4 linked regions of the Arabidopsis thaliana genome follow. The protein of the gene in region 1 interacts with the protein of each later gene in a pairwise test. Each region holds a gene or a part of one and is shown on either strand. Other genes may lie near its edges.

Region 1 (5,902 bases):
CTAACTTTAATCTATAGATTAAATTGATCAATTTATTTAAGATTTACATTATAGTATATTTAATTGGTGAAGATAAATTTATATATAAAATTGATTACATTCATCTTTATGAACCAAAAAAAATAAATCCTAAAATCATCTTTTTAGTGAAAGAGGAAGTATATTAGATATAAACATAATTAAGATACTATATCTTTTCTTTTCATTTTTTTATTCAATTTAATTATGATTACACTATTTTATATTTATTAGGTATAGATAAATTCCCAAGTAAAGTATACTTAATAAGTAAAACTGAATACATTCATCTTTATGAAAGCAAACTATAATCATAATCATCTTATTTAGTGAGAGTAATTATTAGATAAGATTATAAGAACATAATGAAGATACTCTATTATTGTCTAATATTTTCTTAACAAGAGAACTCTCTTCTGTAGATAGAGTCTTTCAATGCCTTTAGGCTCTTTGGGGATATTTTGAAAAAAAAAATACTTGTATCCAATCTTGTAAAACCGGATTGGAATGTAAACCGGAAAGTGGTTCGGGTCACTGCATTGGTACGTTCGATCGTCAGTCAATGAGGCCATATATATAGGTCCAGGTTTAAAAACACTGCTCGTACCAAAATATGTCACACAAAGCTATGAAAGATACACAAAGAGATGTAATTGATTTTTACAAGATGTTAGATTATTGTACAACACGATCTCCATCACAATCCTAAACAAAATTACAAAACAAATACCAGTTTTATCATAATACTAATCTTTGCACAACCTTTGCCTTTGCCTTTCTCTTCACAATCTTAGTAAATATATATAGCTGTTGCCAAAGGACTTCTCGGCGGGAATTCTGATCAGTACTTAGAAGAAACCTTGGGTTGCATTTAGAGTGTTTGTATACATATGTTTTAGCCAACAGATTCTTACTCTCAAAACAGAGCTTCCCTTGGTGCACCGATTAAGTTAAGTGCGGTTGCTGCGATGTGAGATGGCATGAGTCCAGCTTCAGCTAGTTGATCAGCTGGTGCACCGTGATCAATGTATCGATCAGGCAGTACCATTGGTCTCCACTGTATATTCAAACAGTTGCAAATTAGAAACAGTATTTTTTGAAAAGACAGAAAAATATTAGAGAGTTTCTGGAAGTAATAAGTAACCTTGAGTTTGCCATCAAGAAGACCATCGAGAGCAAGAAACTGAACAACGTGCGAGCCAAAACCTCCAATGGAACCTTCTTCAACCGTGATCAGAACCTCGTGCGACTTAGCTAAGCTGCGAATGAGAGCACGGTCCAATGGCTTGCAAAACCGTGCATCCGCTACAGTTACGTTTAATCCGCGTTCTTCGAGCATTACAGCCGCTCCTAAACAGCTCTGAACTGCTGAGCCATAACCCAACAACGCAACTCTCTCTCCTTCCTTTAAAATTCTACCTTTCCCAATCTGAAATACACCCAAAGAGATTTTCTATCTCAAAATGATGAAGGAAGAGAGACATATTTGAGAGGACCAAAGTTATACCTCAATTGGAACACCTTTGTTTCCGGGAGGTAATGCAACTCCAATACCGTTACCTCTAGGGTAACGGAAACAAGAAGGACGATCATCAATCGCAACAGCAGTTGCAACCATGTTAAAGAGATCTGCTTCATCTGATGGAGCCATCACTATCATGTTAGGAAGACAAGCCATAAATGTCACATCGAAAGCTCCACAATGTGTCGGACCATCAGCTCCAACGAGTCCAGCTCTATCCATTGCAAATCTCACCGGTAATTTTTGCAAATCAACATCATGGACAACCTACAGAGAAGGCCACCATATACTCTATTAGTTTCTTAAAATGTTTTATTACAAAGTAAAATGATTAAGATGTTGAACTTGCCTGGTCATAAGCACGCTGCATGAAAGACGAATAGATTGCACAGAAGGGTTTAAGGCCTTCACAGGCTAAACCCGCAGCAAAAGTAACTGCGTGTTGTTCCGCTATTCCTACATCGAAACATCTTGTTGGGAAGCGACGTTGAAAGAGATTTAACCCGGTTCCACCTCCCATGGCTGCATGAATCGCAACCACATCTTTGTCTACCTCTGCTTCTGCGACTAATGCCTCCGCAAAGTAAGTTGTGTAAGATTGAGTCTTATTAGTAGTTTTGAACTGTCTACCCGTTGCTGGATCAAATTTCACAACACCTGAAAGAAAAATAATCAATATATATATCCCACTGCTTAGGAACTAGAGAAAACGTTATCTATCTAACTTGTTTTACCATGGTATTTGTCATCAGCTCTCTCCGCGTAAGGATAACCACGACCTTTCTCCGTCACCACATGAATAAGTACAGGTCCTGTGGTTCTGGTACTCTTAACTTCTTTAAGAATGGCTACCAAATCATCTATGTTGTGCCCATCAACTGGACCAATATAGTAAAGACCGAGTTCTTCAAACAGTGACGATCCAGTCCCGCTTATCATTCCTCGAGCATACTCATCTACCTTAGCCGCCAACTGATGCATTGGTCCGCCTATTTGCTTTGTCATACCCTATACGCAAGAAAAGCCAAAATTCTCATCAAGTCCATAAAGACCAGTATTCTTTACCATTCTAGAAAAGAAATGCAATAAACTTGCCTTTGCGACTTCTCTCAACTCTCTGAGAGCCGGGTTAGACTGTAACCGACTAAGAGCACTGCTCAATGCACCAACAGGTGGACTTGGTCCATCCAAAGTAGCTGTAGGTAATGAGACTTGCTTGTTGTCATTAAGAATCACAATCATATCAGAGTCTAGATATCCGGCGTTGTTCATGGCTTCATAAGCCTGTCCTGCCGTCATCGCACCATCACCAATCACAGCAACCACATTGTTGTTCTTCCCCTTCAAATCCCTTCCTACCGCCATTCCTGTAAAACTCATATATCTGATTCAGTTCTGTTTTCTTATTACAGTTTACTGTCTAAACACAACAACACAAGGCAAACACACCAAAGGAATGATTGATTGTATTACCTAAACCAGCAGATATTGTGGTTGAGCTGTGTCCAGTACCAAAGCAATCATGTTCACTCTCTCCTCGTTTGGTGAAACCAGAGAGACCATTGGTTTGCCTCATTGTAGGCATCTTTCCTCTTCTCCCAGTAAGAATCTTATGAGGATAAGACTGATGACCAACATCCCAAAGAATCTTGTCTTGTGGAGTATTGAAAATGTAATGAAGAGCCACAGTAAGCTCCACAACACCAAGACTTGACCCCAAATGTCCACCGGTTTTCGACACATTAAAGATCACGTCTGATCTCAGCTCATCAGAAAGTTGTTTCAGTTCCTGCAATAAGTTGTTACCAAATGCCACCAATCCATCAATTTGTAAGAAAGCTAAAACAAATGCATCAAAGCTAGAATCTTTACCTTGACAGAAAGATTTTTCATGTGGATTGGGTAGTTAATAGTGTCAAGTAATGGAGTTGGTGGTCTGTTTGAATAATATTCACCCTTCTCTGCAAGTGAAGCACACACTTTTGCTCTTCTGTTTGACTGTACCACAACACAAAACCCAAATCGCAAAAGCTGTCATTTTCTCTAATCAGTTCCCAGAAATCAGAACCAAAGAAGCAATATTATTGGTCTAATTTCACTATATTTTCCACAGATTTCCAATAAAGTAACTAAGAAAAGGAGTCAAATTTGTTTGACTTTTGTCAAAAACAAAGTAAACCCATTATTTAATTCAAGATTTCAGCAAATGGGCAAGCTACAAAATCTCATAGTTCTTAAATCAAGTTCCATGATGAAGCAGAGAAGAGAGAAGTGAACTTACATGGGAATTGTTGTTGGGTTTCAGACATGGTGATGGAAGATCTGTAACCAAAGATCTAGAAGAAGACAAAGAAGTTGATTTACAAGAATCAGTTGAAAGTCCTCCTTTGGTTATTATGTAAGAAGGAAAAGCAAATGCAGAAGAAGCCATTGGAGGTACTTTTTGAAGCTCAAGAAAGTTGAAAACTTTAGGAATGTAAGTAAAACATATAAGGATTTATAGAGAATAAAATTTAGGCAAATTTTGAGGTTATCAAAAACAGTAAAACAAATGAATAAAACGCACTTTCGAATCCCACTACAAGTGAAAGTGTGTGTTTAAATGTGGTGGTGACAATGGTGGTGGTGGAGAGTTGAAGAAGTATAAAGATGGAGACTTTAAAAAAATGGGGTGATGAAGTAAAACGACAAGAAAGCCAACTTCATGGATCACGAATTTTATGTAACCGTGCTGATGATATTAAAAAAAAAAAAGAGAGAGAAAAAAAGAGATGGTGAGATGGTTCGTCATCCGCAGAGAACTTGAGATTTTGGTTGGGCCACGTCAACCATGAAATCCAAGTTTTGGATAGATATTGATGATATTATTTATATACGTTAGTACATGTGTATATTGTTTGTTCCTTATTTCATTTATAAAGTTCTTTAAAAAGAAAATGAAAGAAAAGAAAATAAATAAATATATTCACGCATACATACCAAAGACGATAAAGGCAATATAATCTTTTGTGGTATAAAGAAATGGAATTTAAAATGATTATAGAAGAATTGTAATTTGATTTTTTTTTAATAAAAAAATTAACAAGTTTAGCAGGTACTGACAAAGAAAAAAATCTTTACAGTTTTTGATAAAATTGGAAACGTATATTTGTATACAGAAAAAAATCCTACTTTATATATTTCTATATATATATATAATTTCACACTATTATCTTCAATGATATTCCTCTGTTTCTACAAGAATAATTTTTAGATGTTTTACAAGAAAAATTTTTAAAAATAGCTTTTACAGTTTGTTATTTTTATTAATTTAATAATATTAATTTTACTTTTTTCTTTGTTTTTGTCAACAATTTTCTCCTCTTTCTATCGGTAACAAATGAAAGTAAATAATAATGTTGATATAAACATCAAACTATTAGAAACAAAAGGAGTATTTAATATAACCAAGATAGTGCGGTAGTGTCGTAACTCGTAAGTGTATGATTTGGGTTAGTAACTTAGTATTATCGATCTTATTACATTAATAAAGTTTAATATCATATTAAACAACTACATAGATTAAATTTTATGATATTATCACATTATTAAATGAGCGAGAATCACGTTACAAATCCGACAAAACATATAATATTTGACATTCTTGATTATTGGGTTTCAATTGAGTCAAATATGAATAAACAAAACTTACATGAAAGTTTAAGTTTAAGTGTTTAACTAACGACAGTTCCATCACAAAAAGAAAAATTGTAATCACGCGGTTCATTTTATAATATATCAAAACTTATTAAGAAAACAAGCATGTTAAATTGATATGTTAAATTTTTAAATATTGCATTTTCAAAATGATATGTTATTTTTAACTAATTTTTAATGGTGGTTTTTCGATTTTCAATTAGTTTGAATATAACAGTTGGATAAAATTTTGTCGAAACTGCTTGAAATGCAAGATGACAATATTATCAGCTTGTCAGAAATACGTATATGCCAAATTTTCATCATAACGTTTTTTGGAAACTCTCAGATTCAAAGATATTTCTTGAATCTTCTGACAGACAAACTATTGTTTGATCATAATAAACCGACAAAACAATTAATGTATATGCACGTATACATCATAAATATACAAATACGTATTCTCTACCAAAACATTGTAATAGAAAATCGCCTAAAATGTACGAGGCATTCAAATTACTATGTTATTGTTGAAAGCATACCATATTGACGACTTAGTGAATATGACTAAGTAAACTAGATCAATAAACACAAAACCTAGTTCTCAAACTTGATTTTTTCATAAAAAAGTTGTCTTATCAATAGATTGAGAGGTTTTCAAAAAGTTCAAAATATCAAAACGAATAG
Region 2 (7,553 bases), on another chromosome or scaffold:
TCTGATATTTAGTAGAATAATGCTACAAGTCTGATTAGTGGCAATTGAAAAAATTAGCAGAAACATAAGAGCATCTCCCATGTCCTACCTTTATTTTTTTTCACTATTTTAGAGTTGATTTTGTTCCAATGTGTGTCTCTAAAATAGAAAAGATTAGCATTGGTTAGAACTGCTTTTTGTTTTTTTTTGGCCAAAATGTAGAAAAGTGAAATTAAATTTTAACTCTACCAAGTTCCTAGTTTTCTTTGGAAAGGAAGTTCAAGTTGGTATTAAGCTTTTTTTTATAAAAAAAAATCTAACTCTACCCAAAGGAGAGAGAAAAAATAACTACTTCAAAATTTAGATTCCTTTCCTTTAATATTTGGTTGTTTCTTTCACTAAATTTTTTTGTCTCCTTCACTTCCACTTTTTACTCTACATGCAACCATTCAGAACCTATATGTTGTCAGTCAGTTTGTTTATAAAACCTAGAATTATGGTTATTTTGCCAAATTTCCTAATTATAAAATGAAACAATAAATATCCTAAGAATTCAAACTTTTTTCAAAGAGATCATATGGCATAAATATAACCACGATGGTGATCACATCATCCAAATGGAATGTTATACGTATAAGAAAGTGGAACATAAAGAAATGTATTTTATTAAATAAATGAGGGAAGAACTTAGGACTACGTATGTACATTGTACAGGAAGTGAAAGTGAAAGTGATGATGAGGCTGGGAAGAGAAGTAAAAGCCAGTAAAGATACGTTTCTGGATCCGGTATGAGTCCGAATCGCCCCATTGTGGGTTTTGGTGCGAGTGCGAATCGCTTCATAGTGGCTTCATTTAAGCAGACACTGCAGCTGCAGCCTGTTCTTCGTTCGCCGGTTGGAGAGTGCACACCAGATTACGGTCTCCATACACGTTGTCCACTCGCCCTGTTTCACACATATTTAATACATTTTGAAACGATTTACAAATAACAAATTGTTTTCTATGGGAAATGCCACCCCTAGTTTTCAAGTACCTGTAGTGGGCCAGAACTTGGAGGAGCGGAGCCATGGAGCGGGGAAGGCTGCGTATTCCCGTGAATACGGCTTTTTCCATGTATCTGCCATTAGCAATGACGGAGGATGTGGAGCACCCTGTGTGTGTTTGTTTTTTAAAGTTCATTAGTATCAGACTAGAGGGCTAGTCCGAACTGAAATTGTGGTCTCAAATTTTTTCTTACCTTCAGAACGTTGTTGTTTGGATCTGCGTTTCCTTTCTCAATCTGTGAAATCTCTTCCCTGATCGAGATGAGAGCATCACAGAACCTATCTAACTCAGCCTGAAATATTACATATATATATACAAATTATGAAGCCATGTTTTAGAGACTGAGAGCTGAGTCAGTGAGAGATTTGCAATGCAATGCAAGACATAATTACCTTGCTTTCGCTTTCGGTTGGCTCGATCATAAGCGTTCCAGGGACAGGCCAAGACATTGTCGGTCCATGGAAACCATAATCCATCAATCGTTTGGCCACATCCTCTGGTTCAATTCCAGCAGTGTTCTGAGGACATTGAACAAGACATTGATTTAGCATGTACAACCAAAAAACAGAGCATTTACTCAAACGAGATAAAGAAACATACCTTGAATCCTCTCAAGTCAATGATGAATTCGTGAGCGACTGTTCCATTGACACCACGGAAAAGAACTGGGTAGTGGCTCTGAAAGACAAGAAAGCATAAGTGAGGTTGCACAAGAGAAGAGACGTTCACTCTCTTTAAAGAGTTGTCAAGATAAGATAAGGTACCTCCAGACGCTTTGCCATGTAGTTAGCGTTCAAAATTGCAATCTTTGAGGCATCGGTGAGTCCTCCAGATCCCATCATGGCAATGTAAGTATACGAGATTGGCAAGATAAGCGCAGACCCCCATGGTGCTGCAGAAATGGTTCCCAGCGGTGATGTCTGCTCGGGTTCAGGGATACCACCGGTAGGTATCTGTAGCAGAGTAAACAGAATGAGTACAAAAAAGCAGATAACTCAATCATTGAGAAAGATGGATTAGCGATCATAACATATAAGAATTAACACTAACCACTGGGTGAGAAGGTAGGAATGGAGCCAAATGTTGCTTCACACCGATAGGGCCCATTCCGGGACCTCCACCTCCGTGAGGGATACAGAAGGTCTTGTGGAGATTGAGATGGCAAACATCCGCTCCAATAAAACCAGGGCTTGTCAAACCCACCTGGAAGTTCCAAAAACTTTCTCAAATTCACAACTTTTGGATTCTTCAGTCAACATACCAGCAGAGAAACCATACCTGTGCATTCATATTAGCACCATCCATATAAACTTGGCCTCCATTTTCATGAATTATGTTGCAGATCTCGTCGATACCCTCTTCGTAGACTCCATGGGTGGAAGGGTATGTAACCTAATATTCAAACAGAAGTTGTAGAATTAGAAAGTGGATTGACCCAAAAGTGACATTGTTTCATCTATAGTGATGAAAGAAGTAAATACATACCATAAGAGCAGCCAAGTTGTCCTTGTTGGCTTCGGCGGCGTTCCTCAACTCTTCGATGTTAATGTTTCCTTTGGCATCAGTTCCAACGGCAACAATTTTCATTCCGCACATGGCAGCACTAGCAGGGTTTGTCCCGTGTGCAGAAACAGGTATGATGCACACATTTCTGTGATGATCGCCTCTTGACTGCATCATTTATTCACCCATTTACCAAATTTGTTGAAGTGCGAGTTCATATTGGAAAACAAGAAACTACAGGTATGCTTACCATATGATATGCACGGATAACCATGAGCCCGGCGTACTCGCCAGCAGCACCGGCATTAGGTTGCAATGAGAAAGAGTCGAATCCAGTGATCGTACATAAGAGCTCACCCAAATTCGTAAACATTTCCTATAAGTTGTCAAACAAAAAATTCAGTACGTAGTTAAATTTCTAGTCAGGTAAATCAAATATGTGGCCTCACCTGATAACCTTGGGCTTGTTCAACAGGAGCAAAAGGGTGCATGTTGGTGAAACTTGGCCATGTGACTGGCATCATTTCAGTGGTGGCATTCAATTTCATCGTACAAGATCCAAGTGGAATCATGCTGTGGCACAATGATAGATCTTTATTTTGTAACTTGTGGATGTACCTAAGCAACTCATGCTCCGTGTGGTACCTAACCAAATGTAAGAAAAAAGGGAAAGTAAATGTGAGGTACTTAACAATAAGCCACAGGGCAATGAAGGAACCAAGATTTAAAGAAGGTAACATACATGTTGAAGATTGGATGGGTCAGATAAGGGCTCTCTCTTGTTAGGCTAGAGGGAATAGCATTGTTAAACTCCGGTGCAAGAGACTCAGCCGTGAATTGAACCTTGTACATTGGAGAAAACATTATTTTAAGCAAACACGAAAAAAAAGAGTGAACAAGCGAGATGAATGGATATTAGCTTAAAGTAAACTCACGGGCTTGCCCGAAGCAAAAACTTCAAAAAGTTTATCGACATCATCCAAGGTGGTTGTTTCATCGAAAGCAACAGTAATCTTAAAGAACAAGAAAAAAAACCCATCAATGTTAATAATCATATCCAGATATTGAAGAAATATATATATATATATATATATATATATATATATGAAGAAACTCACAGTGTTGGAGTCCACAAGACGCAAATTGATCTCCTTCTTGGCTGCCACATCAAAAATTGCAGTTGCATCTGAACATGTAACTTTGACAGTGTCAAAGAAGGGAAGATCTTGGACTTGTGCAGTTCCCAGTTTCTTCAATCCTAAGGCAAATACACCAGCGAGACCATGAACCCGTTGTGCAATAGATTTTAAGCCTTCTGGTCCATGGTAAACAGCATACATAGCAGTCATATTTGCAAGCAAGGCCTACAATGTAGAAAACGATAATCAATAGCAAAATAGTTTGAAGATGTAAAATATGGTACTGCTCTCTCGGTACCTCTAATTCTTCCCGCTTTTGTTATCACTTATCAGTAATAGTCAAAGCGGTATACACTACATAAATCCTATAGAGTTTGAAGCCATTTTTACCTGAGCGGTACAGATGTTGCTGGTAGCTTTATCCCTGCGGATATGCTGTTCCCTAGTCTGCATAGCCATACGCAAAGCTTGCTTCCCGGAAGAATCAACACTAACACCAATAATCCTCCCAGGCATCATTCTCTTATACTCTTGTGAAGTAGCCAAGAAAGCAGCATGAGGACCACCATAACCCATCGGAACACCAAACCTCTGACCCGACCCAACAACAATATCCGCCCCAAACTCACCCGGCGGTTTCAACATCGTCAAAGCCAACAAATCCGTAGCCATAACAACCTTAACACCATTAGCATGAGCATTCTTAACAAACTCACCATAATCCAACACCTCCCCTTCAGTCCCCGGATACTGAACCAACACTCCACACACATCACCAGAGCTATAATCCACATCCTTAATATCAACCGTCACAACTTTCAAATCGAAACCATCCGCTCTCGTCTTGCAAACATCAATAGTCTGAGGATGACAATTACTAGCAATAACAAACGTCTTCTTCTTCCCCTTTAGAATATTATTACACATCGCCATTGCTTCCGCCGCCGCCGTACCTTCATCGAGCAACGAAGCGTTCGACATCGGTAGACCGGTGAGATCAGTAATAACCGTCTGGTAATTGAGCAGAGATTCGAGTCTTCCTTGAGAAATCTCAGCTTGATAAGGAGTATATTGAGTATACCAAGCAGGATTCTCCATTATATTACGCAAAATCACAGGAGGAACATGAGTGTTATAGTATCCCATACCAATGAACGATTTGAAAACTTTGTTCTTCGAAGCTAAATCACTCATATGCTCAATCATTTGACTCTCCGTTAATCCTTCATCAAATATCCCGGAAAACTTCATCGAATCTAACCGAATCGATTTCGGAACAGTCGAATCAATCAACGTGTTGAGATTATCGAATCCGCAGTAATTCGCCATCTGAGCTTGTTCATCCGGTGTTGCTGAGTTGTGCCGGCGCGGGAAAGTGTCGCTTGGCTTCAACGCATCGACGGAGATCGATCGTGTCTGGTGTTGATTTCTACCGGAGGTGGTAAAAGCCGATCCAGAGACATCACGACGGCGATGGAGAAAGGAGGAGACGGAGGAGACATACCTTGAGGGAGTAACAGTCGTCGTCGGAAGAAGAGAGGATTCGCCGTTACGGTGGCGTTTTGTCTCGTTGACGAGACGTTTCACGATCCCTCTGTAAGCAAGTCTCCTTGCACGCTCCATAACCAAACCAAAAAAAAACAAATGCAAATCTGAGAGAGAGTAGAGAGACACTGAAGAAAATGCTGATTATATATATATATATATATAGATTATAGTTTTGAGGTTGGTAATTATTAATTTAACGTATTTTATTGTGGCTTTGAGATCTGAAGAGGGTTGGTGACTGACAACCACTCAACTCAATAAGCAACTATACAGAAGAAACAAATTTGTTTGCATAGATTCCACGTATTTTGCATCGAAGCAATATGCTGATAAAAAAAAAAAATTATCACCTTTTTCTGGAAAAATTGCGGCTGTAGGATTTTGATATCACTATCTAGAAATTTAAATGTTTGATATGCTAAGGTTTTAAATCGTATAAGAGTTCGAAGGATAGTACGATACATTTATTGCGACTATCGTAGTCATAGTTTTAAGTATATAGTTCATGCAGCCGTTATGGTTATAGAAATTATCAAAATAGTATAGTCAATTCATAGTATAAGTTTTGCAACTGGATACACATCTCTTATACTTTTGTATCATAGAAAATGCTTTAAACCTCGAAGAAAGATTGAATGGAAGAGAATCAAAGTGGAAGAGATTGGAAATATGTGGACGACAATTTTTTTTTTCTTCCATAAATTTGCTTTACAAACAAAACTAAGAAAATATATTGTAAAGAGCTTATGATTATTATGGTTCACATAGTTACATAAATATAGGTGGCAAGATGTGTTTCACATAAAACTTATCTCATCAATGTACGGTTTCTTCGTTGTTCATCATTTGACAACGGAACTATCGTCCTCCAAATATTGCAACTTTTTTTTTTCTAATTAAATTTCATGTTTTTGTTAGTGCGGTTTGGTCGGGGACCCTAGCAAAATATTTCCCATCAACCTAGTAATACCTGTAAAAGAGTTGGCATTTCACAATTGATCACAATAAACATACTTTTTGTGACTCAAATTGATCATTTTATTCATACTTAGTAGTTAGTACATTTAAAACGCGTGGCAGTAAATTGGGTCAAATGATCTATATGTTTAAAGATCTATAAGTAAATTAGGTTACCAAACTAGTCATTCTCTACTACACGCAGAGATGAAAGTTCTAAGCTATGCAAAGTATCAACGGTCGGTCATGACAATCTGGGGTCTAAACCATAAATTATATATTTTGAAATTAATACTCCCTCTATTTCATGAAGTTTGATGTTGTGGGTTTTCACACAAATTAAGAAAAATAACTTTTTATTTTTTTATTATTCTTTTGTTTGTTTAATAATATCAGACACTGCCTTTCTCTTCTCTATATTGGTCACAAATAAAAATACTAATAATATTGATCTAAAACATCAAACTTTTTGGAACAAGAAAAAAAACCTATAACATCAATCTTGATGGAACAGAGGGAGGGAGTATAAACTGTTTTGCAATTTAAGGTTTTTTTCAAATTAAATATTTTTGGGGGCCTATTTACAAATAAATTTTAATGTAATTTTTTGAAAAAAACTATGAGGTCACATACAAATGTTTCATGTTGCTCTCCTCAGGACCGCCCTGAAAATATCCTCTCAAACATAATTGATTGTTAGGTGTTCGAAACAAACAAATTCACTAATGAAATGCATCACATATTCACTAATAAAATCCACATAATTCATCTACTTTCCCCTTTTTGGATAAAAATAAGATAAAAACGAGTGTGTATGTTGCTCAAATATATAAGTCACCATTTCGCCAATAATTTGTCAACGTTTCCGCAAAAGCAATGGATATCACATTTGTTTTTTTCCAACAATTTCTCTAATATATAAGTCACTATTTGATTTGTACCAAAAAAGTGTCACTGTTTGATTTGAAGCCTATATATAAATTTAAAAAAAAAAATAATAATAATAATTATGTTGACAGTGGGATTTGAACCCACGCCCTTTCGGACCAGAACCTTAATCTGGCGCCTTAGACCAACTCGGCCATATCAACATTTTGGTAACCAAATCCACTAAACGGTTTTATCTTTAGAATAATTCTCCTGCAATTTTGACATAGTCTCATGTCTGATTTATCTCCGCTGTATCATAAAATTTGAAACAGTATTTGATGAAAAAAATTAATATAACAAATAAATAGATTGAATTTGATTTCTTTTACAAATGAAACAAGATGTATCATCCATCACCCAGTGCCTATACTGGGCACATAAATCTAATTTTACAAAAAGGGATATTGATGTATCTGTCTATAACATATAGTTTCAGTGTATATATGTGGTACA
Region 3 (7,555 bases), on another chromosome or scaffold:
ATATCTGGATCTGTCAAAGTAAAAAGAGGATTACTGTTACATTTAGGTCTCAGAATAAATATTATCAAGTTCTCAACGAATGCTTCAGATTTAAGGGAAACATTCTCTAACACAACCAACCAGAAACAGCTCAGGGAGCATAAAAGACGTAACATCTTAATATGAAGACGTAAACAGACAAGTGGCAAGAGGGTGATTCTCTAAGTAAACAGATTAACTTACGGCAAGCAATCTTGCGGTTATCATTGGCAAAAACCTTCACAAGCTCCCCCTGAAATCAGAAAGTAGCAAATGAATATTGCAAACCACATGAAAAAAAAAACTGAAAAACAATCAGCAGAAAACAACAGTGTATGCACATCTAACAAAACTGTTAAATCGTATCTGTACTTTCCAAAGGCGAATCTTTTCCCCTACAACATTTTAGCATGAAATCTAGCCGACGAAACAAAATGCTGAGGTAAATAATGGAAACTAAAATCCATATCAAGATTCCAGTATTCCACAGAAAAGAACCACTCAACATATAATCTCATTCATACAAAAAAATATTAACCTTTCGGTTCCTGTCATCCAAAGGCTGAACCTCAATAGCAAGATATAAATCAACATCATCAGCAGTGACAAGGTAATTTGGCTGCTTTGCTCCTGCATTAGAAGTTCGTTCACGACTAGATTCTTATTTCCATATAAAGAAATAAGAAACAAAATTCAGCAGGAGGGGAATGTACCATCAATGTAATTCACAGATCCATCTTCTAGGTGACAGACCCACTGAAAATTGAAGAACAGAAGAAGATAGATTAGATGCAATTCAACATAAGTAAGGAAGCGATTCTGTTTTTTATTTAGTACGCACCTCAAAATTACAACTTGTTGTTCCATTAATGGAGTAACCACAAGCCTGAAGTTCATGTCCAGGATAAGGTTCTCCTGAAATTTGGAGGTCCTCTATACCTGGTAACGGGTCATCATCTCCACCTGTCAACAGTGGTTCAAAATATTGAGACAAGTGAAAGACCATAATGGAATTAGTATTGTTAATCATTACCCTCAGAAAAGGAGGAAGAAGGTTCTTCAAAAACTGGGGACAAAAGAGGAGAATTTGAGGAGCTTGGGTCATCAAACGCAGACCCATATGATGGATTTTGAGCATCGTCGACCACCGTCTTGCTGATAGGCTCAAGAAACTGGACATGCTTAGGTGGAGTTTCGTCTACTTTCTTATGAGCAGGAGATTCGTCCACGCTGGTACCTGGTTGCACATGCATCTCAAAGGCTGCCGACTGACTGGTACACACGAATGCATTTAATCATCAAACATTGCAGACAGTTATCCACCAATAACTACAGTGCATACAACCAGGTGAGCACTACGAAATTGATCATAATCGTGACATGATGAAGTCAGATGATCTGACACCTCATGACAGATCAAGACATAAAAACATAAAGAAGAACAGCACCTTATTTGGCCTATGACTAATCTGATACATTTGAGAATTGAAATCATCATATTTCCCAGAGGGGACAGGAAGTTAGAAAATGTAAGAATAGGAAAAAGTCGATGAACACTAAGAGTGCAGAAGAGGGATACTAACTATTGGCTTAGAACTACGAATTTTCAGAGTCAACAGGAAAGACTCAAGCGTCAAGATTCATTGCCAAATTAAATCAAATACTTTTCAGCGTGTTTTACAAGTCAAGAGAAAGCAGTCAGAGTCAAGAGTCAACAACAAACAAAGGGCCAAGAAGTCACGGACTTGTTCCTACCTAACATGAACATGTGGATTTAACTCCTTCATTCCCTGCGGTAGCTAAGTTAAGACCAACCCTAAGAAAGAGAAAGAAGCTAAAATGCTTCGCTTGTAGTTCCTTGGATGATTTCCAAGTGAAGGATCCCCACCCTATTATATCTATTGGGATAGAAATATACAATGCTCTAGCAACTACATGTGTGGATTTCATAAATATTGAGTGTGTGCACATAGTTTTCATACAGTTTGGAATATCAATCTTTGCAGGGACAAACTCACCTGTTTTCAAGAGGTGAAAACGTACTAGAATCATCAAGATGGTAATTCCTCACAGCTGAGCTACCTGGCTCATCTTGCTGCTGGCGCTCCAAATTCCAGTCTATGGCTGTGTGATCATGAGAATACATGGAATCTTTTGTCTGGTGTAAACACAAGAAGTAATTTAAGATTCTATTCACTCAAGCTTATGATATAACACTGAGGAATATGCACATACGGAGTGGGTTAATGCCACACCAGCTGAGCGCGATGGAGCCAAAGGGGAATCATTTGAGTGGTTCACATCTGACTGCCATGGTGCTAACTGATATTCCGACTCCTTCAACTTTGTCTAGTACAAGAAAAAGATCAGAAACAATCATCTATCATATGTCTGTAAGAAATAAAGCCAATTCAACGCTAAGAAAAAAACAGAAGTCAAAAATGAAGCAGACACTGAGATTTAACACCAGATAAGCCCATACCCGGATAACATACCTCAGTAAGAAGGAGCTTTTCTTGTAGATGCTTAAACAAAACCTAAATAAATAAAAAACAGTAGCTGTAAACGCCAATCGCTAGTTTAACATAAAAACTGCAAGAAAAACTTCACTTTCATATATAGTGAAGCAGAGTATAATATATAATCAGTCGTTTAATTTCCTATCCAAATTTCTATGTTCTGTGGTTCTCCATGACTCCACATAAATTTCACAGATAAGACAACAAATGCTTATGCTTCCATATCCATGAAGCTCAAAAAACTATGTCAACCAAGCTCCGTTAATCATCGAATAGGATGCAGTGCAACAAAACCTCTCAAATTAATAGGCTACAGTATACAGTAAAGTCAAAGATAGGAGCTAGAGATGGTCCGAACTTACAACAGAATAATAAAACAAGAAACGTAAGATTCCAACACAAGTTATAACAAAAAAAATAAAAGATAGCGAGAGACAGCACTTCAGATTTTGGATCTTACCTTCACATTGCTGACAATAGACTGAGCATCAGAAACCTGTGGTTGCAGAGAATACTCTGATAAAAGAGGTAACAAGTATGATACAAATGTAGATCTTTCTTGCTGTGTAGCCTGGAAAAAAAAACGAAAACAGGCATATTGGCTTCGATTTAAAAATTAACCAGATTTTACGTAGATATATATATACCAGTTGCAGTATAAAGTTATCCAAAAACATGATGAAAGTGAGGGGCCAGAGACAAATCCTAGTTTGAAAACTGAAGTGGAAACTGAAATAATTCAAGGTGTCCAGCTAAATAGGGTTACCAAAGAAAAAGGAAATGAGGAATTAAAGCATATGCCAGAAGACAGACAACTAGTGCTGTATTCCCACACACACAAAATGATAGTACCTGTAAGGCATATGTTAGGCGTATATTTTCTTCAATTATCTCTTGTCTGTAAGAGAGAGCTTTTGATGAAGCATCAACAAGATCTTGTTGCTGTTGATCAAATGCCTGGTTACAACAGCAACAATCTTTCAGCTTCCAAACAATTAAATTAAATACATTTAATACGAGATGAATAAAACAGATAAGTAAAAAAAAGGAAAGGCCTACCAGACGCATGTAGGCAATTCTCTTTTCCAGAACATATTTTTCATTGCGAATTTGGGCTTCCTATAAGATAACTAAAATGTTAGTCATCTGATTTAGCATAAAATTAACAAAGAATGCAAGGGATGAACCAACAGAAAGCATTAATGACTACATAGTTTATTATGTCATTTACGCTTATGGTCGCATGGGCTTTATTTGTGGTTGAGCTGATTGTTTAGGGTTTTGCTCTTGTTTTGTGCCCTTTCGAAGTGAACATAAAAACCATTGAAGAGATTATCTTTGGTTTGGATCAATAGAGAGTTTGCTGTTTCTCCGATGAAACGGAGTAAGATATTTGCAGGTCCTTCTAAGTAGCAGAAAATCTATCTTTTCCCATGAATATTATACTCTGTTTATGACAACCTTTTATTGATCCAAACCATAGATGATTTTCATTTCTTGTTCTGCTCACTTCTAAAGGACAAAAAAGAAGAGAAAACCCATATGCAACCAAAGAAACCTGACTCAATCACAAACAAATCCCAAGGAACCACAAAAGTTAGTAACACAAAACCCCAATAGTGACTAGAAATCTCCCATGTCGAACAAGACTCACCTTAACAGAACAGTCAGTAAGATATCTTCTCAACTGCGAAATTTCTTGTTCCTGCTCCTGGACCTTGTGAATGAGGTCCTGAATAGGTACATAGTCCGGTAAACAGTTTTTCATTTACACCAATAAAACCAAGACGTAGAGTAAGTATGATAGAGACCTGCTTCCATGCATTGCCTGAATGATTTACTTCACCAACTGGCATAGATCCATGAGTAGACGAACTGAAGTGTGCGTCATGCTCTCCCTCCAATCGCATTCTAGCAGATATCAGATCTTGAAAATTATAGGCATTTCGTTCATGGAAATTCATCTAAGCCATAAGATTTACAAATAGACTCAGCACACGCAAGAGTGGTAGTTTCTGTTTCAGTACCTCATAGGAGATATTGACGAATCGAATTGAGAGGGACCAGTACCATCTATAGCTCTTTTAACAGTGCCATTACTTATAGTTTCTTCAGAATGGCTTTCAAAACGATTACTCACAGTAGCTTCTTCACCATTAGCATTCACATGGGGGTGAACAACCAGCAAGCCTGATGAATCAGCATCTGAAGCTTTGATCACAACTGGCTTCCAGTCAACTGGCTGGTGAACCAGGCGGGACACAGTGGTAGAATTTGTGTGATCTCCGATATTAGAAGTTTGGGGCAAGGATTCATCTGATTTCTAGGCAAGATAACAAGAGCAAGACTACCAATCAAAAATTTACCAAATATGATCTACGAGCTACTAAACTTATACCATGGAAGTATCACCATAACAAAAGAAAAGGATTCTCACTAATTGCAAAATACTGATATCTGATAAAGACTGCGCAAAAGTAACCAGAGATCCTCTCTTATCCTTTAACTAGACAATTACTTACATATTTAGCCAATTCCAGAGCACTTCGCTGAAGTTCAGCTTTTAATCGGCTATTCTCTTCCACCTGCTTAGAGGATAAAAACACATTCTTAGATGCCTAAAATACTTCGATGACAAACAAAAACCATCTTGCATTGGCAAATGCTAACAAACAAGAGACAGATCCTACACTCCAGATACTTAATTATCCCCTATGCATCAACCAGACTTAATAAAACCTTGCATTTCACAACTACTTCTCTAATAAAGCAGACATGTCAATACAGAAATTTAGACAGAACTCCTGGAAATGGATTGATAGAGGAAGTACTTCCCCACGAATCGAAACAATTTCAAATAGAGACACAGACGGAGAACCAGACCTGCTCCTTGATGGTGGTTTCTGCTGCTTCAACAGCTTTGATGACCTGAAACAAGTTGTCGTTCTTAAACTCGTTCTCAGGCAAAAGAGAAGAATCTTCGAAACCCAATCCGGAAAATCTCTCCGCCAATCTTTCCTCATGGCCATTCTCCATCTTCAGCTCCTCACTTTGAAGCTGACTAAATCCCAATCAAGTTCCCCAATAAATTGACCAAAGGACTCTAATTTCCTCTCTCTTGTGCTTCTTAATTATCATGATTTCATCTGAGCGCTTAAGTAATCAAATCTCACACGAATGAAACAGGAACAAAACCAAAACCCCAAAATTTTCCAAGGAAGGAAATTGAGCGTGTTGATTTCAGAAGAAGCCGTAATGATTGCGAGAAAACGATAAGAATCAATTACACAATCACATGAGAAAGAAAAACCCAGAGAAAAAAATGGATTTTTTAATTGAAATGAGAAGAAAGTTTCCTCCTTTTGTCTTCGTCTTCTTCAAGCAATCTTTCTTCTCTCTGTCTCAATCAGTTTTTTTAATTCTGGACTGGTAAGTGTTGTGCTGACTTCTGGGTTTTATACATGTTTCACTTTCTTCAATTTAAATAAATACTGCACTTATTATTTATGCAAAAGAATTAGGATTTTCAAATAATTTTAAGGAATCTTCATGTTAATAATTATGTTCCATGGATTTTAAGAGGAGACTTTTTTACAACAAAAGTCAGAATCTTTGCATTATGTGCACTAAATTCAGCAACAACCGTTTTAGAGAAATAAACAAAATGCACACTTTTCAGACTTAATGCTAAGCTTTTTGCAAGTTCTTCAATTAGGTTTTGATCTGAGATAGAAGTTTGGTTAGTAGCACTGCACTCTCTCCTGTCTTCCATACTTTGAAATCTGGAACTCCAACAAAGTACTCTTCGTCACTCCACGTTTTGAGATCTGTGAGAGAGAATGGTCCATGTGTTTTTCCTTTAGGGTATTCATAGAACCACATCACCTTCTTTGGATCATAACTCTGGTAAGCTTGATCGTTTTTGTCCTTTTCGTCGTCGTCATCATCATCGCTCAATTCAATAATCTCAATTGGATTTGAGTGTGCTTGAGTTTTGTTAGAGAGATCAATCACTGGAGTACTTGACTGATGCTGACTGACTTTGGTATTCATTTCTCCTTCAGTGATAGAGTCCGTGTTCAGTGTTATGCCATTTGCTGGCGGCTCGTACACATCTTCATGGAGATCTTTATTACCTGGAATTTACACAAACAAATATATGGGTCCAGATCAAGTTCACAATATCTCGCTTCTTGGACACCACTTAGTTAACTATGAAGGACACATTCATCTAACATCACTTTGACAAAGGCAAGGACGAATAGGATTCATTAATCCAACCAATTTAAGTCCTATCGATGAATTGAAGTTACAAAGAATGGGACGCACCTGCAGAAGCAGTCCATATTGGCTGGTCTTCTAGAGTTTTCTGGATACTAGAATCTGGTAAATCACTTGGTTGTATTTCTTCATCACTTTGATGCGCCTCAGTGAAGGCTTCAGGGTTTGGTACGGTACGTCATTTACTAGTTTTCCATCATCATCTACAAACTCAGGTTCAAGTTTTTCTGCAACAACATCGGGAACATCACACAGCAGCCTCAACTGCTCTTCCGGATTCTTAAGAAGCAAGGAATTTTCTTGACTTTTCTTGACACTAGAAGAAACTGGTAAATCTCTTTGTCGTTGCTCTTTGTCACTTTGATGAGCCTCAGGGTTTGGTACAATGAGGCTATCTTCTATTGTCCTATCATCATCATCATCTTCACATTCAGGTTCAAGTTCTTCTGCAACAATTTCTGGAACTTCATCCACTAGCCTCTTCTGTTCATCCGGATTCTGAAGAAGCTCCCTCTTCTCCAGATACTGGGATAGTGTATTAGCTAAGAAGTCAAGAAAAATATAACAGAAAGAGTCTCTCATATTCACTAGTTACTCTTCAAAGTAAAACAATATATTAATATTGATAATGCTTTATTAAAGGATATTCTCTTCGCCATCCCTTTTCATTGGCCTGATTAATAAGCCTTTGTAACACTACAAGTTCTCTTGCAATCCACTAAAAAACATTCGTAAAA
Region 4 (4,613 bases), on another chromosome or scaffold:
TTGAAGATATTGACACTGAATCCACTTCATGATGCAAGGTAAAAGACTCTGTAGGTACACTAATCTTAATACATTGATCTCCTCTTTTACCTTGAGAATTACTGTTCTCCACTTCTTCTCGACACTCTTCATCATTTTCATCATGCTTAAATAACTTTATCTCACTAACACTATCAGACCTTAATGAAGCAATCCCAAAGCCTATATCACCACCCGGAGAAGGTTTGAGCTCATTTCTACTGTTTGAACGGCTTTTTGACGCTTTTGCACTACTACGAAGCTCCAAAGCTTTTTGACGTGACCTTGATCTCTGCATCTTAGCAAGTGATAATCCAGGGTCAATGCAAGTGTCTGGTTCAATTTCCTCTTGACAATAACCAAGAGATGAAGATTTCCGCTTACAACCAGTAGTTGAGACACATTTGGGAACCTTTTCCCCTTGGCTACATCCAGGAGATGTAGCATCAAGATTAGTTTCAACTCTCTGATTCTTGGAGTGTTCGGGAGATGAACAACTTTGATTCTCTCTGCAATCGATTGAGACACTTTCTGGCAATCTCTCTTTCTCATGTACATCTCTAGGAGATGCAATATTAACATCCTGCTCATGAGAATGATTCGAAACTTGTCTGACTAAGTTGTGTGAGAGGTTGTGTTGCGGTTCCTCTTCAAGCAACTGCTCTTCTAGCGGGTTATTTACCACAGAGGTCAGGTCTTGTCTTACTACATTGTCAGCTAGAAACCTGACAGGCCGTTGGTATGAAAAGGGACGACTGCTAGGACAAACGATGGAAGGTCTTGATGAAGGAAATAGAAGTTCTGATATAATCTCCTCCTTATTTAACTCTGTATACATATAAACAAACATCACAATAAGAATCGCAAACAGAAACTCTTCTATTCAATCGTAACTGAAACAGATATACACGCAATGTACGTTAATACTAGCCTTAACAAAATGCTCCTTAACTTATCACAGAAAAATCAACATCAAAGTGTGATTATGAACCCTAACACCATTTCTAATCTTTCAATTCCATCTTCTCACAGTAATTCGACATCAAATTTATGGTAATACGCTTTATAAACTTTCAATCCATTTCCCGTTTAAGTATCAAACAACTTCGCAGCATCATTACTCAATAGCCACTAAGACTACTAATCAATTTTGCTCTAATTAGCCAAACAAATCTACATTTACCATCACGGACAAGAAATTGAGCACTAAAAATCAGATTTAACAACTACCGGAAGTTTGGGAAGGTAGAGACGGAGACCAGAGCCACGACGGAGGAGATACTCCGGCGAGTAGGCATTTGGAAGCTAAATGCTGGTCATAGAGATCTACTTGTTGCTGAACCTGCTCGACGATTCGCCTCTTCCTCTCAAAGATCTGAACGAAAAGATTCTCAATCTTCACATTCGCCGTCTTCCCCCTCGGATTCTCCTTGACGGAAAACATCGCCGACGACCTACTCTAGAGATAGAGCGAGAGAGAGAGAGAGACTGTTAGCGCGGATTTGAATTTCAAAATTTTGGGGATAAAGATTTCATTTTCGCTTTCGTTTTTCACTGAAAAAAATAGAATGAAGCTTTTTTAGCTTTTTTAACCCTCGCTACCTGAACGATGCGTTTAGTTTTAAACGGCTTCGTATTGTGTCTAATATCTATCTTCTCGTTAGCTGTAAAACGTTTCGTTTTAACAAACCTTTTTCATACGATGTCGTTTCTCTCTATCTTTTAATACTTTCGCCGTCGTCGTCTTATTTTCGCTGTCCCTGATCATTCGCCGGAGCTACCATTAAGAGACTGAGATTCAATCATCAGAGTTCAATGGATGTCCCGTTACCAGTCGAGAAATTATCTTATGGATCAAACACTGAGTAAATTTTGAAGCTTATTCTCGATTTTGATTCCCTTCATTTGTCTTTTTTGTGAAAATTCTGATTTTGTAAATTTGATCTGCTTGGTTACTTATGATGATGAGATTCTCACCAGGTTTATTATTAAAATTCCGTCCGGGTGTTGAATATTTTCGATTGTTTGTCTGAAACAGGGACAAAACTTGTGTAGTGCTTGTGGCAACTGGGAGTTTCAATCCTCCTACTTTCATGCATTTACGCATGTTTGGTCAGTTCTTTTACCAGAGTAGATATATAATTCATTTTTTTATATGTTTATCAATGGCGTTTCAGATTCTATCAATCCGAAAGTTTTCACAATTTGAGGCATAATGATCAGTGTTTTGACTCGTTTCAATGGGAAAATCCAATACTGGTTTATAGTCAAAAGTAGCTTAAGATTATATGCCTTGTTGTTTACTTCTTGAGTGAAACCGTTTCTTGAGTATATGATTGTGTTAGCTTTGTATATTTTGGTTTATAAAACCGGCATATGACAAGAATGAACTGCAGAACTTAGAGGTTTCAATTGTTGATTCTTGTCCATTGCTGTGACCTTTTGTTCAAATGTATATGTTTCTTTACATCAAACTGATAAGTTCTCTTCCTTTTTTTTGTCGCTAGAGCTGGCGAGAGATGAATTACGCTCAAAAGGATTTCATGTTCTTGGAGGATATATGTCTCCTGTTAATGATGCATATAAGAAGAAGGTATTTGTCATCTTGAGAATCTTAGTTTCTTTCCATAATGACTCTTTTTTTTCTGAACCTATGCTAATGGACATGTTATGTGTGATGAAACTAAGAGCTTCTTTTTCTTTTTTAGCTCCCAAAGTTCTTCTGTTTACTATTCTGTTTAGTTTCCCTTAGAACTAATAATTTCATCAGATTATGTGTAGGGCCTTTTATCTGCAGAACATCGTTTAGAGATGTGTAATGTATCATGTCAAAGCTCTGACTTTGTAATGGTTGATCCGTGGGAGGTACTTTCTTATTCCTCGAAAAGCTTTTAATCAGTTCTCTTTAGTGGAACAATGCGTTGTTTACAAAAATGTGGAAGCTGTTTCTACAGGCATCTCAAAGCAACTACCAACGAACTTTGACGGTTTTATCAAGGGTCAAGACTTTCTTAACAACAAATCGACATGTACCCGAGGGTAAGATAACTGCAAGAAGTGTCCTGTGTCGCCTTTAGCATCTTTCTATTCAAAGTTTATCTCACTTACATTTTGGGAGTAATTGCTGGGTCGTCTGAATAGTGTTGCTTGCTATGTTTTTATCATACGTGCTAGCCACTACGCAAATGACAAACACAAATTTATTCTAATGCTAGAATCTCTCAAAGTCATGCTACTATGTGGCTCGGATTTACTGCTATCTTTCTGCACTCCCGGTGTTTGGATCCCTGAACAGGTAAACCAAGGTAGCATTGTTATATAAACGTAGATGTGTTTATCAAATTTACTCACAGTTATGCTCCTTTTTCAACACTTGGTTTTTGAAGTTAAGAACTATTTGCAAAGATTATGGCATTGTGTGCATCCGTAGAGAAGGACAAGATGTTGAAAATATGATCTCTGGTGACGAAATCTTAAACGAAAACTGTGTAAGTATTACCAGGTTTCTGTTCTGACTCTGCTGTATCAGTCCGTGATTGTGCACATGGTTTACTGAATAGTGCCCCCTCGATTTCTTTCGCAGGCTAACGTCAAAATCGTTGACAATACTGTTCCTAATCAAATCAGTTCGAGTAGATTAAGGTAGTGTGAGATTTATTTATCCTTCCCGAGAACAGTTCATATACACTAAAAAATGATTTCTCTTGCTCATTCCTCTGCTTCTTTCAGGCAATGCATTTCGCGAGGGTTATCGGTTAAATACTTGACTGAAGATGGAGTAATAGATTATATCAGACAACATCAACTATACACTGAGCTCACATGACAAACGCTGAGAGGATTATTATACTTCATCAGATCAAATATTACAACACAACTCATCAAATAATGGTGTGATAAACAGATCAGATATATTTGTTGAGTCTCTGTATTTTAAGGTTCTTATTTATCAACTCTTTGTATCATATTCATATGTACAACAAATGTGAAGAAAAAAAAACACAAAAGAGGCGAGAGAAATGTGAAACTGATGATGGATTACTTCTATATAATATATTTGAAAGTTTTCAAAATCAGCGTCAAAGTCTAACTTCTCTGTTTCGATAAGAATGAGCTGGGGACTAGTCATGAAATACCCATGACTTGTTTTTGAGGATTCAGGGGGATGGACATTGTTTATAGCTGGGTTTCAGACAAAGCTAGGGACATCTAGAAGTGAACTCTCTGCATTTTTTTTTACTTGTGTTCTGCATATTTGATTGTGGCTTAAAAATGCAAGAACATTAAAAAAAAAAAAAACATAATACGTAAGTTCAGAAAAAAAATTAACAAAAAAACCAAAGAGAAAAAAAGAAAATTACATCTTACATAAAATTTTAAAAAATAATAAACGAAATAGAAAATTACATCTCACAGAGCCGGAATATCAAAATAGGGGGAAAATGGGTAAGTCGTCAGTACCTCGCATTTTTGTTATACATTGCCTAATTGGAATTCGGACTACAACTGCGAGAACACAAGTATTTGTTCTCCGCTTTAAAATATATTGGGAATGGACAGCGGCAGTAGCATCGATCGCATATTGGTCGGGAGAG

Evidence for each region.
Region 2: the proteins of CLA1 (region 1) and GLDP2 interact in a two-hybrid assay, tested with the Arabidopsis thaliana proteins (one study listed by BioGRID).
Region 3: the proteins of CLA1 (region 1) and AT5G23490 interact in a two-hybrid assay, tested with the Arabidopsis thaliana proteins (one study listed by BioGRID).
Region 4: the proteins of CLA1 (region 1) and NMNAT interact in a two-hybrid assay, tested with the Arabidopsis thaliana proteins (one study listed by BioGRID).

What each region holds. Positions count from the first base shown.
Region 1 is NC_003075.7:8,882,287-8,888,188, reverse strand, and holds CLA1 (Deoxyxylulose-5-phosphate synthase), read right to left. Parts: upstream 4,365-5,902; 5' UTR 3,972-4,364; coding exon 3,822-3,971; intron 3,539-3,821; coding exon 3,413-3,538; intron 3,330-3,412; coding exon 3,014-3,329; intron 2,908-3,013; coding exon 2,636-2,907; intron 2,549-2,635; coding exon 2,275-2,548; intron 2,198-2,274; coding exon 1,890-2,197; intron 1,808-1,889; coding exon 1,526-1,807; intron 1,448-1,525; coding exon 1,163-1,447; intron 1,076-1,162; coding exon 935-1,075; 3' UTR 522-934; downstream 1-521.
Region 2 is NC_003071.7:11,108,499-11,116,051, forward strand, and holds GLDP2 (glycine decarboxylase P-protein 2), read right to left. Parts: upstream 5,794-7,553; 5' UTR 5,289-5,793; coding exon 4,056-5,288; intron 3,891-4,055; coding exon 3,645-3,890; intron 3,540-3,644; coding exon 3,462-3,539; intron 3,370-3,461; coding exon 3,269-3,369; intron 3,172-3,268; coding exon 2,976-3,171; intron 2,903-2,975; coding exon 2,777-2,902; intron 2,695-2,776; coding exon 2,509-2,694; intron 2,416-2,508; coding exon 2,302-2,415; intron 2,227-2,301; coding exon 2,074-2,226; intron 1,977-2,073; coding exon 1,788-1,976; intron 1,702-1,787; coding exon 1,624-1,701; intron 1,542-1,623; coding exon 1,416-1,541; intron 1,316-1,415; coding exon 1,217-1,315; intron 1,131-1,216; coding exon 1,013-1,130; intron 924-1,012; coding exon 832-923; 3' UTR 505-831; downstream 1-504.
Region 3 is NC_003076.8:7,917,849-7,925,403, reverse strand, and holds the start of AT5G23490 (uncharacterized protein), read right to left. Parts: upstream 6,028-7,555; 5' UTR 5,574-6,027; coding exon 5,421-5,573; intron 5,123-5,420; coding exon 5,060-5,122; intron 4,861-5,059; coding exon 4,565-4,860; intron 4,449-4,564; coding exon 4,349-4,448; intron 4,270-4,348; coding exon 4,192-4,269; intron 3,657-4,191; coding exon 3,597-3,656; intron 3,495-3,596; coding exon 3,390-3,494; intron 3,109-3,389; coding exon 2,998-3,108; intron 2,556-2,997; coding exon 2,514-2,555; intron 2,368-2,513; coding exon 2,254-2,367; intron 2,177-2,253; coding exon 2,037-2,176; intron 1,291-2,036; coding exon 1,052-1,290; intron 982-1,051; coding exon 860-981; intron 775-859; coding exon 732-774; intron 649-731; coding exon 557-648; intron 272-556; coding exon 223-271; intron 11-222; coding exon 1-10. Other genes in the region: AT5G23480 (SWIB/MDM2, Plus-3 and GYF domain-containing protein), read right to left, coding at 6,897-7,353, 7,466-7,536.
Region 4 is NC_003076.8:22,583,460-22,588,072, reverse strand, and holds NMNAT (nicotinate/nicotinamide mononucleotide adenyltransferase), read left to right. Parts: upstream 1-1,786; 5' UTR 1,787-1,833; coding exon 1,834-1,883; intron 1,884-2,056; coding exon 2,057-2,130; intron 2,131-2,525; coding exon 2,526-2,611; intron 2,612-2,788; coding exon 2,789-2,821; coding exon of another isoform or gene 2,822-2,883; intron 2,884-2,917; coding exon 2,918-3,057; intron 3,058-3,159; coding exon 3,160-3,313; coding exon of another isoform or gene 3,314-3,340; exon of another isoform or gene 3,341-3,404; coding exon 3,405-3,506; intron 3,507-3,601; coding exon 3,602-3,660; intron 3,661-3,747; coding exon 3,748-3,844; 3' UTR 3,845-4,088; downstream 4,089-4,613. Other genes in the region: WYR (inner centromere protein, ARK-binding region protein), read right to left, coding at 1-846, 1,249-1,477, 1,709-1,786. UniProt on the Arabidopsis thaliana protein: Catalyzes the formation of NAD(+) from nicotinamide mononucleotide (NMN) and ATP. Can also use the deamidated form; nicotinic acid mononucleotide (NaMN) as substrate.